2 linked regions of the Stegostoma tigrinum genome follow. Each later gene encodes a partner of the first gene's protein in a complex. Links are inferred from orthologs where the notes say so. Each region holds a gene or a part of one and is shown in the gene's direction. Other genes may lie near its edges.

Evidence for each region. The genes of interacting proteins can lie anywhere in the genome.
Region 2: sptlc1 (region 1) and sptssa share a complex: the UniProt entries of both Homo sapiens proteins name them as parts of the serine palmitoyltransferase (SPT) complex. The link is inferred for Stegostoma tigrinum from reciprocal best matches to the Homo sapiens genes SPTLC1 and SPTSSA.

Annotation. Positions count from the first base shown.
Region 1 is NC_081356.1:51,368,110-51,375,084, forward strand, and holds the start of sptlc1 (serine palmitoyltransferase 1), read left to right. Parts: upstream 1-3,943; 5' UTR 3,944-3,962; coding exon 3,963-4,016; intron 4,017-6,975. UniProt on the Homo sapiens protein: Component of the serine palmitoyltransferase multisubunit enzyme (SPT) that catalyzes the initial and rate-limiting step in sphingolipid biosynthesis by condensing L-serine and activated acyl-CoA (most commonly palmitoyl-CoA) to form long-chain bases.
Region 2 is NC_081363.1:58,723,431-58,731,340, forward strand, and holds the start of sptssa (serine palmitoyltransferase small subunit A), read left to right. Parts: upstream 1-4,870; 5' UTR 4,871-4,996; intron 4,997-5,017; exon of another isoform or gene 5,018-5,055; intron 5,056-7,910. UniProt on the Homo sapiens protein: Component of the serine palmitoyltransferase multisubunit enzyme (SPT) that catalyzes the initial and rate-limiting step in sphingolipid biosynthesis by condensing L-serine and activated acyl-CoA (most commonly palmitoyl-CoA) to form long-chain bases.

The DNA of each region.
Region 1 (6,975 bases):
AAGCCAGTTTCTAATCCAAACTGCTAAATCTCCCTCAATCCCATGGCTCTGTATTTTCTCTAACAGCCTACCATGTGGAACCTTATCAAAGGCTTTACTGAAGTCCACGCACACCACGTCAACTGCCCTTCCCACATCCACATGCTTGGCCACCTTCTCAAAAAGCTCAATGAGGTTAGTGAGACATGACCTGCCGTTGACGAATCCATGCTGACTATCTCCAATCAAATTGTTGCTTGCTAGATGATGATAAATCCTATCTCTTATAATCCTTTCCAAAACTTTTCCTATAACTTTGCCTCCCTGGTGCCAGGGAGGTGAGCGTTGATGCAGGTGAGGCAGTAGCAAGAGGTAGACCAGCTAGTGGAAAGGATTTTCCTGGGAAGGAACCAAGGGATCGGTTCAAGTGTGTTTGCTTTAATGCAAGGAGTATCAGGAATAAAAGTGATGAACTTAGAGCATGGATCAGTACCTGGTGCTATGATGTTGTGGCCATAACAGAGGCATGGGTTTCTCATGGGCAGGAATGGTTGCTGGATGTTCCAGGGTTTAGAACATTTAAAAAGAATAGGGAGGGGGGAAAAAGAGGAGGGGGTGTAGCACTACTAATCAGAGAGGGTATCACAGCTACAGAAGCTTCCTTTGTCGAGGAAGATCTGCCTACTGAGTCAGTATGGGTGGAAATTAGGAACAGCAAGGGAGTAGACACCTCGTTAGGGGTTTACTACAGGCCCCCCAATAGCAGCAGGGAGATTGAAGAAAGCATAGGTCGACAGATTTTGGAAAAGTGTGCACGCAGTAGGGTTGTTGTAATGGGTGACTTTAACTTTCCTAATATTGATTGGAACCTCCTTCGAGCAGAAGATTTGAATGGAGCTGTTTTTGTAAGGTGTGTTCAGGAGGGTTTCCTAACACAGTACGTTGACAGGCCGACGAGGGGAGAGGCCATTCTAGACTTGGTGCTCAGAAACGAGCCGGGGCAGGTATCAGATCTTGTGGTGGGAGAGCATTTTGGTGATAGTGACCATAACTGCCTCACATTCTACATAGCTATGGAGAAGGAGAGGATTAGGCAGAATGGGAGGATATTTAATTGGGGAAGAGGAAACTATGATGCGATTAGACATGAGTTAGGAAGCATGGACTGGGAGCAGTTGTTCCATGGTAAGGGAACTATAGACATGTGGAGACGGTTTAAGGAACAGTTGTTGGGAGTGATGAGTAAATATGTCCCTCTGAGACAGGCAAGAAGGGGTAAGATTAAGGAACCTTGGATGACGAGAGTGGTGGAGCTTCTAGTGAAAAGGAAGAAGGTAGCTTACATAAGGTGGAGGAAGCTAGGGTCAAGTTCAGCTAGAGAGGATTACATGCAGGCAAGGAAGGAGCTCAAAAATGGTCTGAGGAGAGCCAGGAGGGGGCACGAGAAAGGCTTGGCAGAAGGAATCCGGGAAAACACAAAGGCATTTTACACTTACGTGAGGAATAAGAGAATGGTCAAAGAAAGAGTAGGGCCGATCAGAGATAGCATAGGGAACTTGTGTGTGGAGCCTGAGGAGGTAGGGGAAGCCCTAAATGAGTTTTTTGCTTCTGTCTTTACGAAAGAAACGAACTTTGTAGTGAATGAAACCTTTGAAGAGCAGGTGTGCATGCTGGAATGGATAGAGATAGAGGAAGCTGATGTGCTGAAAATTTTGTCAAACATTAAGATTGACAAGTCGCCAGGCCCGGATCAGATTTGTCCTCGGCTGCTTTGGGAAGCGAGAAATGCAATTGCTTCGCCACTTGCGAAGATCTTTGCATCCTCGCTCTCCACTGGAGTCGTACCTGGGAACTGGAGAGAGGCAAATGTAATTCCTCTCTTCAAGAAAGGAAATAGGGAAATCCCCGGCAATTATAGACCGGTAAGTCTCACGTCTGTCGTCTGCAACGTGTTAGAAAGGATTCTGAGGGATAAGATTTATGACCATCTGGAAGAGCATGGCTTGATCAAATACAGTCAACACGGCTTTGTGAGGGGTAGGTCATGCCTTACAAACCTTATCGAGTTTTTTGAGGATGTGACTAGAAAGGTTGATGAGGGTCGAGCTGTGGATGTGGTGTATATGGACTTCAGTAAGGCATTTGATAAGGTTCCCCATGGTAGGCTCATTCAGAAGGTCAGGAGGAATGGGATACAGGGGAACTTAGCTGCTTGGATACAGAATTGGCTGGCCAACAGAAGACAGCGAGTGGTAGTAGAAGGAAAATATTCTGCGTGGAAGTCAGTGGTGAGTGGAGTTCCACAGGGCTCTGTCCTTGGGCCTCCACTGTTTGTAATTTTTATTAATGACTTGGACGAGGGAATTGAAGGATGGGTCAGCAAGTTTGCAGACGACACAAAGGTCGGAGGTGTCGTTGACAGTGTAGAGGGCTGTTGTAGGCTGCAGCGGGATATTGACAGGATGCAGAGATGGGCTGAGAGGTGGCAGATGGAGTTCAACCTGGATAAATGCGAGGTGATGCATTTTGGAAGGTCGAATTTGAAAGCTGAGTACAGGATTAAGGATAGGATTCTTGGCAGCGTGGAGGAACAGAGGGATCTTGGTGTGCAGATACATAGATCCCTTAAAATGGCCACCCAAGTGGACAGGGTTGTTAAGAAAGCATATGGTGTTTTGGCTTTCATTAACAGGGGGATTGAGTTTAAGAGTCGTGAGATCTTGTTGCAGCTCTATAAAACTTTGGTTAGACCGCACTTGGAATACTGCGTCCAGTTCTGGTCGCCGTATTATAGGAAAGATGTGGATGCTTTGGAGAGGGTTCAGAGGAGGTTTACCAGGATGCTGCCTGGACTGGAGGGCTTATCTTATGAAGAGAGGTTGACTGAGCTCGGTCTCTTTTCATTGGAGAAAAGGAGGAGGAGGGGACCTAATTGAGGTATACAAGATAATGAGAGGCATAGATAGAGTTGATAGCCAGAGACTATTTCCCAGGGCAGAAATGGCTAGCACGAGGGGTCATAGTTTTAAGCTGGTTGGTGGAAAGTATAGAGGGGATGTCAGAGGCAGGTTCTTTACGCAGAGAGTTGTGAGAGCATGGAATGCGTTGCCAGCAGCAGTTGTGGAAGCAAGGTCATTGGGGTCATTTAAGAGACTGCTGGACATGTATATGGTCACAGAAATTTGAGGGTGCATACATGAGGATCAATGGTCGGCACAACATTGTGGGCTGAAGGGCCTGTTCTGTGCTGTACTGTTCAATGTTCTATGTTCTATGTTCTAACAGACATAAGGCTCACCGGCTCATTTGACTGTGGCTCATTTATTGGCTGTCTCAAACTGTAAGTGGTGTTTTTAAAGGATCATGACGTGAGTGACGGTTATTTAAACATCTGCAAGAGCTGTGATTAATTGGAGGAGGTTGTATCTTTTAGAACAAAAGCAAATGCCTGGCTGGTCACTTCACTTTCTCCAAAGGAACATCTAATTTATTTTAGATTTCCAGCAGCTGCTGTAGTTTGCCTTTATTACACAATTTTTGTTCAGTTTTTTAAATTGTTTGACAAAGACAGCAGTGCTAAGTAAATTTGTGATCAGAGATAATGGGAACTGCAGATGCTGAAGAATCCAAGATAACAACGTGTGGAGCTGGATGAACACAGCAGGCCAAGCAGCATCTTAGGAGCACAAAAGCTGACGTTTCAGCCCTAGAACTTTTCTGATGAAGGGTTTCGGCCCGAAATGTCAGCTTTTGTGCTCCTAAGATGCTGCTTGGCATGCTATATTCATCCAGCTCCACACTTTGTCATTCCTTAATTAAATGTGTTCCCGGAATCAGCTGATTATTGGTGAGCACCACGTGATTGGAGTTGGTGACCATATCAACGATGGCAGCCGCCTTCTTGAACTGGCTTGCGTAAGTGCGCATGCGTATGTTTCTGATTATTCCATTTTTCATGCAGTCAGCTGTTATTTGGTAACAAGATGGCGATCGGGCAGCAGTGGGTTCTAGTGGAAATGGTTCAGGCTTTTTATGAGGTAAGAGAACTGTTCCGTAAAATAATTGTGAAAGTTTCACAGACTGTGGAGAACACGTAGTTCGTAATACATCTCAGAGATGAAAAGCTGGAGGGTATTGTGAACTGGTTTTATATTGAGCTAATATTGCCAAAAGGAAGTTTTGGAAATGTGCTGAATTTTATTGATAGTTGAACGAACCCGGTTTTCCAGTTATGCCTCGTTATGTCCAGAGTGACTACTTATGTTGGAACGTGAATTAGGAAGGATTTGTGGGTGAATTGTTTCAAAGTTAGATTTCTCAGTCTAGTCAAGTGGAACTGAAAGAGGTTCTAGCCAAGGCTGAGAATTGAAATTAAAATGATTCGAAATTGCATTTGATAATGTCCATGGTGACCCATTTATTACCCATTTCAAATTGCTCTGAAGAAGGAGGCAGTAAGCAACCTTTTTATCCTCGAAACCAATCAGGTTGAAAGCCTGTAGGAGGAAATTTGACCTTGCCCAATTTAGCCTTTATGGCTGGTCGAGATACAAATGGATTTTGCTCTTGATTATGATTTTTAATAAGGCCTTTGAAGCGCTTCCAGTTCTTTCTAAAAAGTGACTTGTAATTGTCATCATTTTAGATCACTTTTAGAAGGACAATTTATTGTTGGTTTGCCAACAATAAATGAATCACGAGTTCTTTGATTTAACACTTCTAAACATAAATTGCTTAATATTTATAAACCTGATGTGTTAAGTATTCAATAGGTTAAAATTTGTACTAGATAATTTGGTTAGCTGATGCTCAAAATATATTTTCATGTTAAGGGTTGTAGAAAACCTTTTCACTTTTTTTGAAGATTAGCTGTTCAGACTTATTTTTGAATTGTGGGTATCTTGTGCAAGGCCAGCATTTATTGCCCATCTCAACTTGCTCTAAAGAAGATGAGATGAGCAATCTTTTTGACTGCAAGTAATGTGGTGCAGATGCATTTCCAGGTCTGTTTTCTGCAGCAGTTTGATACAAGTGAGTTTCCGAGGTCAGTTGATCACTATAGTTTAAAAAGTGACAGTCGCATATAAGCTAGACTAATGATAGTGGAATTTCTTATGTAAAGATCATAAATGAAGTAATTTGAAATTGAGATTAGCACGTTTTTATTGGGCAGTGTTGTTAAAAAGATTTAGTTCTATTCCTATGTTGAGTAGCAGCAATTAATGCTTTGTCCTGGACAACATCACCAATGATATTGAATATTTAAGGCTACAATTGGCCTCTTTTGCTTATTACAATGCAGTAGTGGTGGGACTGGGTTTGGCTATGATAATATACATACTATATCAGAATAGAGTAGAATCCCTACAGTGTGGAAACAGGCCCAACAAGTCCATGCTGATCCTCGGAGCATCTGACCCAGTCTATAATCCACCTAATCTACACATCCCTAAATACTACGGGCATGTTAGCATGCACGTCTTTGGACTGTGGGAGGAAACCGGCGCATCCGGACAAAACCCACGCAGACCTCAGGGAGAATGTGCGAACTCCACACAGTCGTCCGAGGGTACACTTGAATCTGGGCCTCTGGCACTGTGAGGCAACAGTGCTAACTACTGAGGCACTGTGCCACCCATTACACATTCAAATCTAGGCATGCTATTGCGTGAGCAATAAAAATAAGCTTTGACTCAAGTTTCATTAAAAATTAACTTGAAATGCAGGCCTCACTGACAAAACCATTTTTTCCCCAAATGTCCTGATGTATATTTGCTCTTGGAAAGTAACCAGAGCTGCTTTTATGAACAAGCAGAACATTTGTGGTGATAACAAAATGTGGAGCTGGATGAACACAGCTCATCTGATGCTGCTTGGCCTGCTGTGTTCCTCCAGCTCCACACTTTTTGTTATCTTGGATTCTCCAGCATCTGCAGTTCCCATTATCACAGAACATTTGTGGTGGGTAGGTACTGTGTGAGTACTGAACATGAGAGTACTGTGGTACTCCCACAATACTGTCTGTTAGGAGATTCAGGGAGCCTGTGATGATTGTTGACATGTTCACAAGATTGGGTATTGCAATAAAATTATCCTCAACTGAGTAATTTATTTACTTTTAGCGGAAAACAATGACCACCTCGGTAATGATTTCAGAACAGGGAAAGTGAGTAGAGTGTCTGATTAGTTTTTATACATGCGAATTAAGTAACTTTGTAGATTGCTGCAATCTACAATCTGGAAAATGTTTTTCTTTTGAAAGAGCAAGGGCAATATTTTAATTAACTCCATTACTAACCTTTCTTGTCCTCCTCTCATCTTAATTGCATAAAAATATGCATATTTAGAACACACAGCCCCTTGTGCTTACCTCAGTTCAGTAAGATCATACCTAATCCAAAAGTATGATGCTCCTATTTACGGAAAACATTTTTAACCCCTTGCTTATCAAGAATCTGTCTCTGTCTTTAAAGACATTCAAAACCTTTGCTTTCACTTCTCTTTGAGGAAGAAAGTCCCAAAGAAAGACCGTGTAAGGAATAGTCTTATCAGTGTCTTAAATGGTTGACTTAATTTTTAAAATGGCCCCCAGTTCTAGATTCTTTCTCAAGAAGTGCCATTCTATAAGATGTAACACTTCCTTAATGCTTATTTCAGTTCTCTGTAATATCAAGACAATTCAATTATTTAAGTTTTTCTTTAGCTGATTGATATCACCAACTTTTCATCAAGTTTATTTATACTGAGTGTTACAAACTGTCCCGATCATTCAGTTAAAAGCAATCTGCTGTGGATGTTGGAAATCTGAAATTGCTGGATAAACTCAGCAGTTGGACCATAAGAGCTTAAGTTATAAGAATAGCTTTAGCTCATTCTCCCCATTGAGTCTGCTGTGCCATTTAAACATGGCTTCTGTTTCTCAGTCAGATCTCTTCTGCTTTCTTCCAATAACCCTTAATCCCCTTGCTAACAGAGAATCTATCTGTCTCTGTCTTA
Region 2 (7,910 bases), on another chromosome or scaffold:
AATGTACCTGAATTATGGTCACTCTATCCAAAGTGCTCACCTATCACTAAATCAAACACCTGGCCTGGTTCATTACCAAGTCCTAGATCTAGTGTGGCCTCCCCTCTTGTTGCCCTTCGACATACTGTGTCAGGAAATTGTCCTGCACATATTGGACAAACACTGACCCATCTGACGTACTAGAGTTATAGCATTTCCAGTCAATGTTGGGGAAGTTAAAGTCTCCCATAATGACCTTCCTGTTCCTTTCACTCCTGCCCAGAATCGTTTTGTCAATCCCTCCTCCACATCCCTAGAACTTCGTGGAGGCCTATAAAAAAACTCCAGGCAGTGTGACCTCTCCCCTCCTGTTTCTGACCTCAGCCCATACCACCTCAGCAACTCCTGACATGAAAACAAAGTGTGTAGCTGGATGAACACAGCAGGCCAAGCAGCATCTCAGGAGCACAAAAGCTGGCGTTTCGGGCCTAGACCCTTCATCAGAGAGGGGGAGGCGGACTGAAGATGGAAAGAGGAGAAGATAGGTGGGGAGGGGATAGGTCAGTCCAGGGAGGACGGACAGGTCAAGGAGGCGGGATGAGGTTGGTAGGTGGGAAATGGAGGTGTGGCTTGAGGTGGGAGGAGGGGATAAGTGAGAGGAAGAACAGGTTAGGGAGGTGGGAACGAACTGGGTTTGGTGATGCAGTGGGGGGAGGGGATGAGCTGGGCTGGTTGTATGATGCAGCGGGGGAGGGGGAGATTTTGAAGCTTCTGAAGTCCACATTGATACCATTGGGCTGCAGGGTTCCCAAGCGGAATATGAGTTGCTGTTCCTGCAACCTTCGGGTGGCATCATTGTGGCACTGCAGGAGGCCCATGATGGACAAGTCATCTAAGGAATGGGAGGGGGAGTTAAAATGGTTCACGACTGCAGTTGTTTATTGCGAACCGAGCGGAGGTGTTCTGCAAAGCAGTCCCCAAGCCTCCGCTTGGTTTCCCCAATGTAGAGGAAGCCACAGCGGGTACAGTGGATACAGTATACTACATTGGCAGATGTGCAGGTGCCAGCCCAGCTTGTCCCCTCCACCCACTGCATCACCAAACCAGCCCAGCTCGTCCCCGCCTCCCTAACCTGTTCTTCTTCTCACCTATCCCCTCCTCCCCCTCAAGCCGCACCTCCATTTCTCACCTACCAACCTCATCCCGCCTCCTTGACCTGTCCGTCCTCCCTGGACTGGCCTATCCCCTCCCCACCTATACTCTCCTCTCCACCTATCTTCTCCTCTATCCATCTTCAGTCCGCCTCCCCATCCCCCTCTCTGATGAAGGGTCTAGGCCTGAAACTTCAGCTTTGGTGCTCCTGAGATGCTGTTTGGCCTGCTGTGTTCATCCAGCTCCACACTTTGTTATCTTGGATTCACCAGCATCTCTTGGTCTGTAGCCTTGTATTTAATAACACTTTGTGTGCATCCCATGTATTTATTTAAAATGTTGAGGGGTTCTTCCTGTTCCTGGGAATTATGAGAAAATGCTCCACTGTTTGGAGCTGCTCGTGGCATGAGGTTTCTGGCTGTAGGAGGCTAATCCCACCCCACCACCACCACGCCCCCAGGACATTGCAGAACTAGGTATTTTCCCAGGTGGCCTACTTAAATCTGGAATTGTATCTCCTCGTGTTGGTAGCACTGGTACCTCCTCATAAAAATACTGCCGACGCTGAAAATCTGAAAGAGAAATACAAACTGTTGGAGAAACTGAGCAAGTCCAGCAGCGAAGAGAGAAACAATGTTAATGTTTGTAGTACAATATAATTGTTCAGAATTGCTACTGGATTCAACATAAAACTGAGTTGCTCCAGCATTTTATGATTCTGATTGTAGCATTGGTTCCTTCCAGTCTTGACAACAAGTTCTTTGCCAAAGGTGACACTGGGTGCCTGTAGTTACCGAATCATCAGTGACTTTGTTTCCATTCTCAATGTTTGCTGATGGTCTGAAGATTAGGAGCCTCCAGAAGCTTTGTGCTACTATGGGATCAATAGTATTATTTTAACGAGACATTTCATCGGTACTCCTCTTTTGCTGGCGAGCTTTATAGAGGCTGATCCAAGAAAATCTGATCTCTGGGTTCCAAACTGTATTGCCTCCAGATAATTTGGATGAAGTCTGACGAAAACAGAAAATCATTCTATGAATTGAAAAAAGAATTTGAGTAATGTTGTTTTTTCCTTTGATAATATTTCATTCTTGTTTTCTTTCCATTAAATATAAAGGAGCATATGAATAGTGATTAAAACCTGTCTGGGTTGTCACTTTGAAACCATTGGTAGAATTGGAAACGAGCAATTTTCCAAATCATTTGAGCATGGACATCTCGATGATTAGATTCAAGTGCACAGCTTTTTATTTTCTTAAATGGAACTGTGTATTTTTGGTTCTAGCTGTGGAGGTAGAGTGAACAACCTAAGCTGCAGCAAACTAAGATCAGTAGCAGAGTAGGGACAGTGATGGTCTTTGGGTCATCCAGAGGTATCACTAAAGAGGGTACAGAATGCTTTGGGCATGAGGCAGATCACTCTGGATTTGCAGAAGATAGAGTGAGCACACCGGCATAAAAATGGCATGAAGCCACAGAGGCAGCAAAAGAGGAGGAAGCGTTTGTCATTGAGGGGATGTATGTAAAGATGTCTGAGGTAGCAAGTGGAAGTAGCTAAGAATTAGTCCATTGCTGACTATTGCAGCGGTTAAAATTAGGAATGTCGGCAGCAGAAGTTTAGGATGAAGCTTGAAAGGGTAAAATGGTAACAGTGCACATTGGTAACCCTAGAATGGAGCAAATATTGTCATTTTCTGCTTGAAGTAATATTCAAATATGTAGAAGATGAAGGTGGCTAATGCATTAATGTTGAGAAATTGTAAGTGCAGTAGAACCATTTGATGATCAGAGCACAGAATTGCGGTAATAAGAGTCAAACACAAATCTATAATAAATAGGGAGGTGTTGGCAGGTGAAATTTCTGCTGGATATGTAACCCAGAGATCAAGTTAATGTTTGAGAACCTCGGTTTAAGTCTCACCATAGCAGATGTGGAACTTGAAGTTGATAAAAAAATCTGGGGGGGATAAATGTCCAGTGAGGAACACGAAGCCATTGTTCATTTTGTAAAAATGCATCTGATCTCCTAATGAACAAAAACTGCCATTCATACCTGGTCTGGCCCATGTGTGACTCCAAAACCAGCAAGATAACGACAGGGTGAGTCGCTCCTGGCACCGGTGGTGGCATGGCGTGGGCTGCAAAGCCTGGAGTGGGACTCTGGCAGAGGCATGGCAAGAGCTGGAAAACCGAGTACGACTGCAACAGTGGAAAGAAAATTTGGACTCTAAAGTTATCATTCTTTTTTCCTTGTCTAATTCGAAGTTAATGTGAATGGTGCCATGTATGTACAGTGAAGGAACACACTTCTCACTATTTTTAGATTGAATACAATTAATAATTTGTGAAGAGGACCCAAAACAATGTGATTAACTCTTAGCTGCCCTCTTAATACAACTGAGTAGCTTTCTAGATCATTTTAACTCCTAAAAAGGCTCAAAAAGAAACTGAAGGAGCAGCACCTCATATTCTGCCTTGGGACCCTGCGACTCAATGATCTCCATGTGGCCATCACCAGTTTCAAAATCTCCCCACACCCAGCCTCTTCCCATGACCAACTCTCCCTCTCATCCCCACCTTAACCTGACACAACATGTCCATCTTCTCTTCCACCACTGCCTCACCTGCACTCACCTATCACCATCCCACTTATATTTCTCTATTTATTTCAGAGCTCTCTTTGATCTCCCCCATTTCTGAAGAAGGGTCCTGACCCGAAACATCAACTTTCCTGCTCCTTTGATGCTGCTTGGCCTGCTGTGCTCCTCCAGTTCCACACTGTGTTATCTCAAAAAGAAACTGGGTGGACCACATGGCATTGCCTGAGACATTAAAAAAGACAATGGCAAACTCAGCCCTCTCGCCTCTAAAAATCTTCCCCACCAATATCTGGGACCTAGTGCAAAAATTGGGAGAGTTGTCTCAGAACAGTCAAGCAACAGCCTGATATAGTCATACTAAGGGAATTATACCTTACATACAATATCCAAGAAAAAAAAACAGCATCACATTCCTGGGTATGTCCTGTCCTACCTAGTATAAACCTAGGAAAGGGGGTGGCACAGTGGTATATACCCAGGAGGAAGTCAGCCTGGGAGTCAACATTAACTGTGGCTACTGAGAAGTCTCATGGGATCAGATCAAACATGAGCATGTAAAACCCCTGCCCAATTACTACATACTGTCCTCCATTAGCTGATCAATCAACACTCTTCCAAGTGTTGTTCAATATGAAAGAAGCGATGAATTTGGCAAGGGTGTAGAAGGTACTCTGGATGGGTGATTTTAATGTCCATCACCAAGATTGGCTCAGCAGCACCATGACTGATCAAGTTGATTGAGTTTTAAAGATCGTAGTTGCTGGACTGGGTCTGTGGCAGATGGTGAGGGGTAACCATGCGTGACTTCATTCCCATCAATCTGCTGGCAGGAGATGAGTAACCTCTGCACAGTCCTTGTGGAGACGAAGTCCTACCTTCATATTGATGGTGCCTCCATCTATCACTTATTACCGCAACTATCACATGGACATACTATCACCGTGCTTTTTCTGATGAAGGAGCTAGGCCCGAAACGTCAGCTTTTGCGCTCCTCAGATGCTGCTTGGCCTGCTGTGTTCATCCAGCTTCGCACTTTGTTATCTTGGATTCGCCAGCATCTGCAGTTCCCATTACCACAGATCACCATCACACGCAGCTCAACTTTTACGTGGTGCTGCACCGGCTCTAACTGCAAGTATTCCTCCGGAGCGGAGGTGGCGCTGCCAGTGGTGGTGCACGGTGGAATAGGGCGGCTCCGGCTCCGCCGCTGTCGACGAGAAGGGGGTTGGCAACAGGACGGGGTCCTGGATAATTAATGTCCGGTAGGTTGGCTCCTGCTTGGCGGTTGGTGGTGACTCTGCAACGGGCTCCGGGGGCCCGGGTGAGAAGGTGGCGGCGTTTCCGGGCCGTGCCGTTTTCTTGGGCCCAGTGCGGGAGAACACAGGGATTTCCCCCTCCCCACCCCCACACCACCCCTTTGTCCCTCTCCCCCAGACACTGCCCGCACCCCCCGACACTGCTTTCCCTCCCCTCCCCCCCAACTCCCCCCGCACACACCCCTCCCCCAGACACTGCTCCCCCCACGCACCCCCTCCCCCAGACACTGCTTCCCCACCCCCGCACTCCCTCACCGCCTCCTCCAGACACTACTTTCCCCCGCAACCACCCCCCACCCCCAGTCACTACTTCCCTCCCCGCACGCTCTCCCAGATACTGCTCCCCCCGTTCCCCCCCCCCCAGACACTGACACTCTCACCCCCTGCACCCATCTCTCCCGCCCCCCCCCCAGATACTGACGCTCTCACCCCCCACACCCTTCCCCCTCCTGACACTGACCCCCACCCCCAGGCACTGCTCCCCCCCCCGCCCCCAGTGCCCCCAGGCACTGCTTTCCCCCCCAGTGCCCCCAGGCACTGCTTTCCCCCCCAGTGCCCCCAGGCACTGCTTTCCCCCCCCAGTGCCCCCAGGCACTGCTTTCCCCCCCCAGTGCCCCCAGGCACTGCTTTCCCCCCCCAGTGCCCCCAGGCACTGCTTCCCCCCCCAGTGCCCCCAGGCACTGCTTCCCCCCCCAGTGCCCCCAGGCACTGCTTCCCCCCCCAGTGCCCCCAGGCACTGCTTCCCCCCCCAGTGCCCCCAGGCACTGCTTCCCCCCCCAGTGCCCCCAGGCACTGCTTCCCCCCCCAGTGCCCCCAGGCACTGCTTCCCCCCCCAGTGCCCCCAGGCACTGCTTCCCCCCCCAGTGCCCCCAGGCACTGCTTCCCCCCCCAGTGCCCCCAGGCACTGCTTCCCCCCCCAGTGCCCCCAGGCACTGCTTCCCCCCCCAGTGCCCCCAGGCACTGCTTCCCCCCCCAGTGCCCCCAGGCACTGCTTCCCCCCCCAGTGCCCCCAGGCACTGCTTTCCCCCCCAGTGCCCCCAGGCACTGCTTTCCCCCCCAGTGCCCCCAGGCACTGCTTCCCCCCCAGTGCCCCCAGGCACTGCTTTCCCCCCCAGTGCCCCCAGGCACTGCTTTCCCCCCCAGTGCCCCCAGGCACTGCTTTCCCCCCCAGTGCCCCCAGGCACTGCTTTCCCCCCCAGTGCCCCCAGGCACTGCTTTCCCCCCCCGTGCCCCCAGGCACTGCTTTCCCCCCCCGTGCCCCCAGGCACTGCTTTCCCCCCCCGTGCCCCCAGGCACTGCTTTCCCCCCCCGTGCCCCCAGGCACTGCTTTCCCCCCCAGTGCCCCCAGGCACTGCTTTCCCCCCCAGTGCCCCCAGGCACTGCTTTCCCCCCCAGTGCCCCCAGGCACTGCTTTCCCCCCCAGTGCCCCCAGGCACTGCTTTCCCCCCCAGTGCCCCCAGGCACTGCTTTCCCCCCCAGTGCCCCCAGGCACTGCTTTCCCCCCCAGTGCCCCCAGGCACTGCTTTCCCCCCCAGTGCCCCCAGGCACTGCTTTCCCCCCCAGTGCCCCCAGGCACTGCTTTCCCCCCCAGTGCCCCCAGGCACTGCTTTCCCCCCCAGTGCCCCCAGGCACTGCTTTCCCCCCCAGTGCCCCCAGGCACTGCTTTCCCCCCCAGTGCCCCCAGGCACTGCTTTCCCCCCCAGTGCCCCCAGGCACTGCTTTCCCCCCCAGTGCCCCCAGGCACTGCTTTCCCCCCCAGTGCCCCCAGGCACTGCTTTCCCCCCCCAGTGCCCCCAGGCACTGCTTTCCCCCCCAGTGCCCCCAGGCACTGCTTTCCCCCCCCAGTGCCCCCAGGCACTGCTTCCCCCCCCAGTGCCCCCAGGGCCCCGCTTTCCCCCCCCCCCCAGTGCCCCGCTTTCCCCCCCCCGCCCCCAGTGCCCCGCTTTCCCCCCCCCCGCCCCCAGTGCCCCGCTTTCCCCCCCCCCGCCCCCAGTGCCCCGCTTTCCCCCCCCGCCCCCAGTGCCCCGCTTTCCCCCCCCCGCCCCCAGTGCCCCGCTTTCCCCCCCCGCCCCCAGTGCCCCGCTTTCCCCCCCCCGCCCCCAGTGCCCCGCTTTCCCCCCCCGCCCCCAGTGCCCCGCTTTCCCCCCCCCGCCCCCAGTGCCCCGCTTTCCCCCCCCGCCCCCAGTGCCCCGCTTTCCCCCCCCGCCCCCAGTGCCCCGCTTTCCCCCCCCGCCCCCAGTGCCCCGCTTTCCCCCCCTGCCCCCAGTGCCCCGCTTTCCCCCCCCGCCCCCAGTGCCCCGCTTTCCCCCCCCGCCCCCAGTGCCCCGCTTTCCCCCCCCCCGCCCCCAGTGCCCCGCTTTCCCCCCCCGCCCCCAGTGCCCCGCTTTCCCCCCCCGCCCCCAGTGCCCCGCTTTCCCCCCCCGCCCCCAGTGCCCCGCTTTCCCCCCCCCCCGCCCCCAGTGCCCCGCTTCCCCCCCCCCCGCCCCCAGTGCCCCGCTTCCCCCCCCCGCCCCCAGTGCCCCGCTTCCCCCCCCGCCCCCAGTGCCCCCAGGCACTGCTTTCTCCCCCCCCCCGCCCCCAGTGCCCCCAGGCACTGCTTTCTCCCCCCGGCCCCCAGGCACTGCTTTCTCCCCCCCCCCCCCGCCCCCAGTGCCCCCAGGCACTGCTTCTCCCCCCCCCCCCGCCCCCAGGCACTGCTTCCCCCCCCCCCAGTGCCTCCAGGCACTGCTTCTCCCCCCCCCCCCGCCCCCAGGCACTGCTTTCTCCCCCCCCCCCCCCGCCCCCAGGCACTGCTTCTCCTCCCCCCCCCCCAGTGCCCCCAGGCACAGCTTCTCCTCCCCCCCCGCCCCCAGTGCCCCCA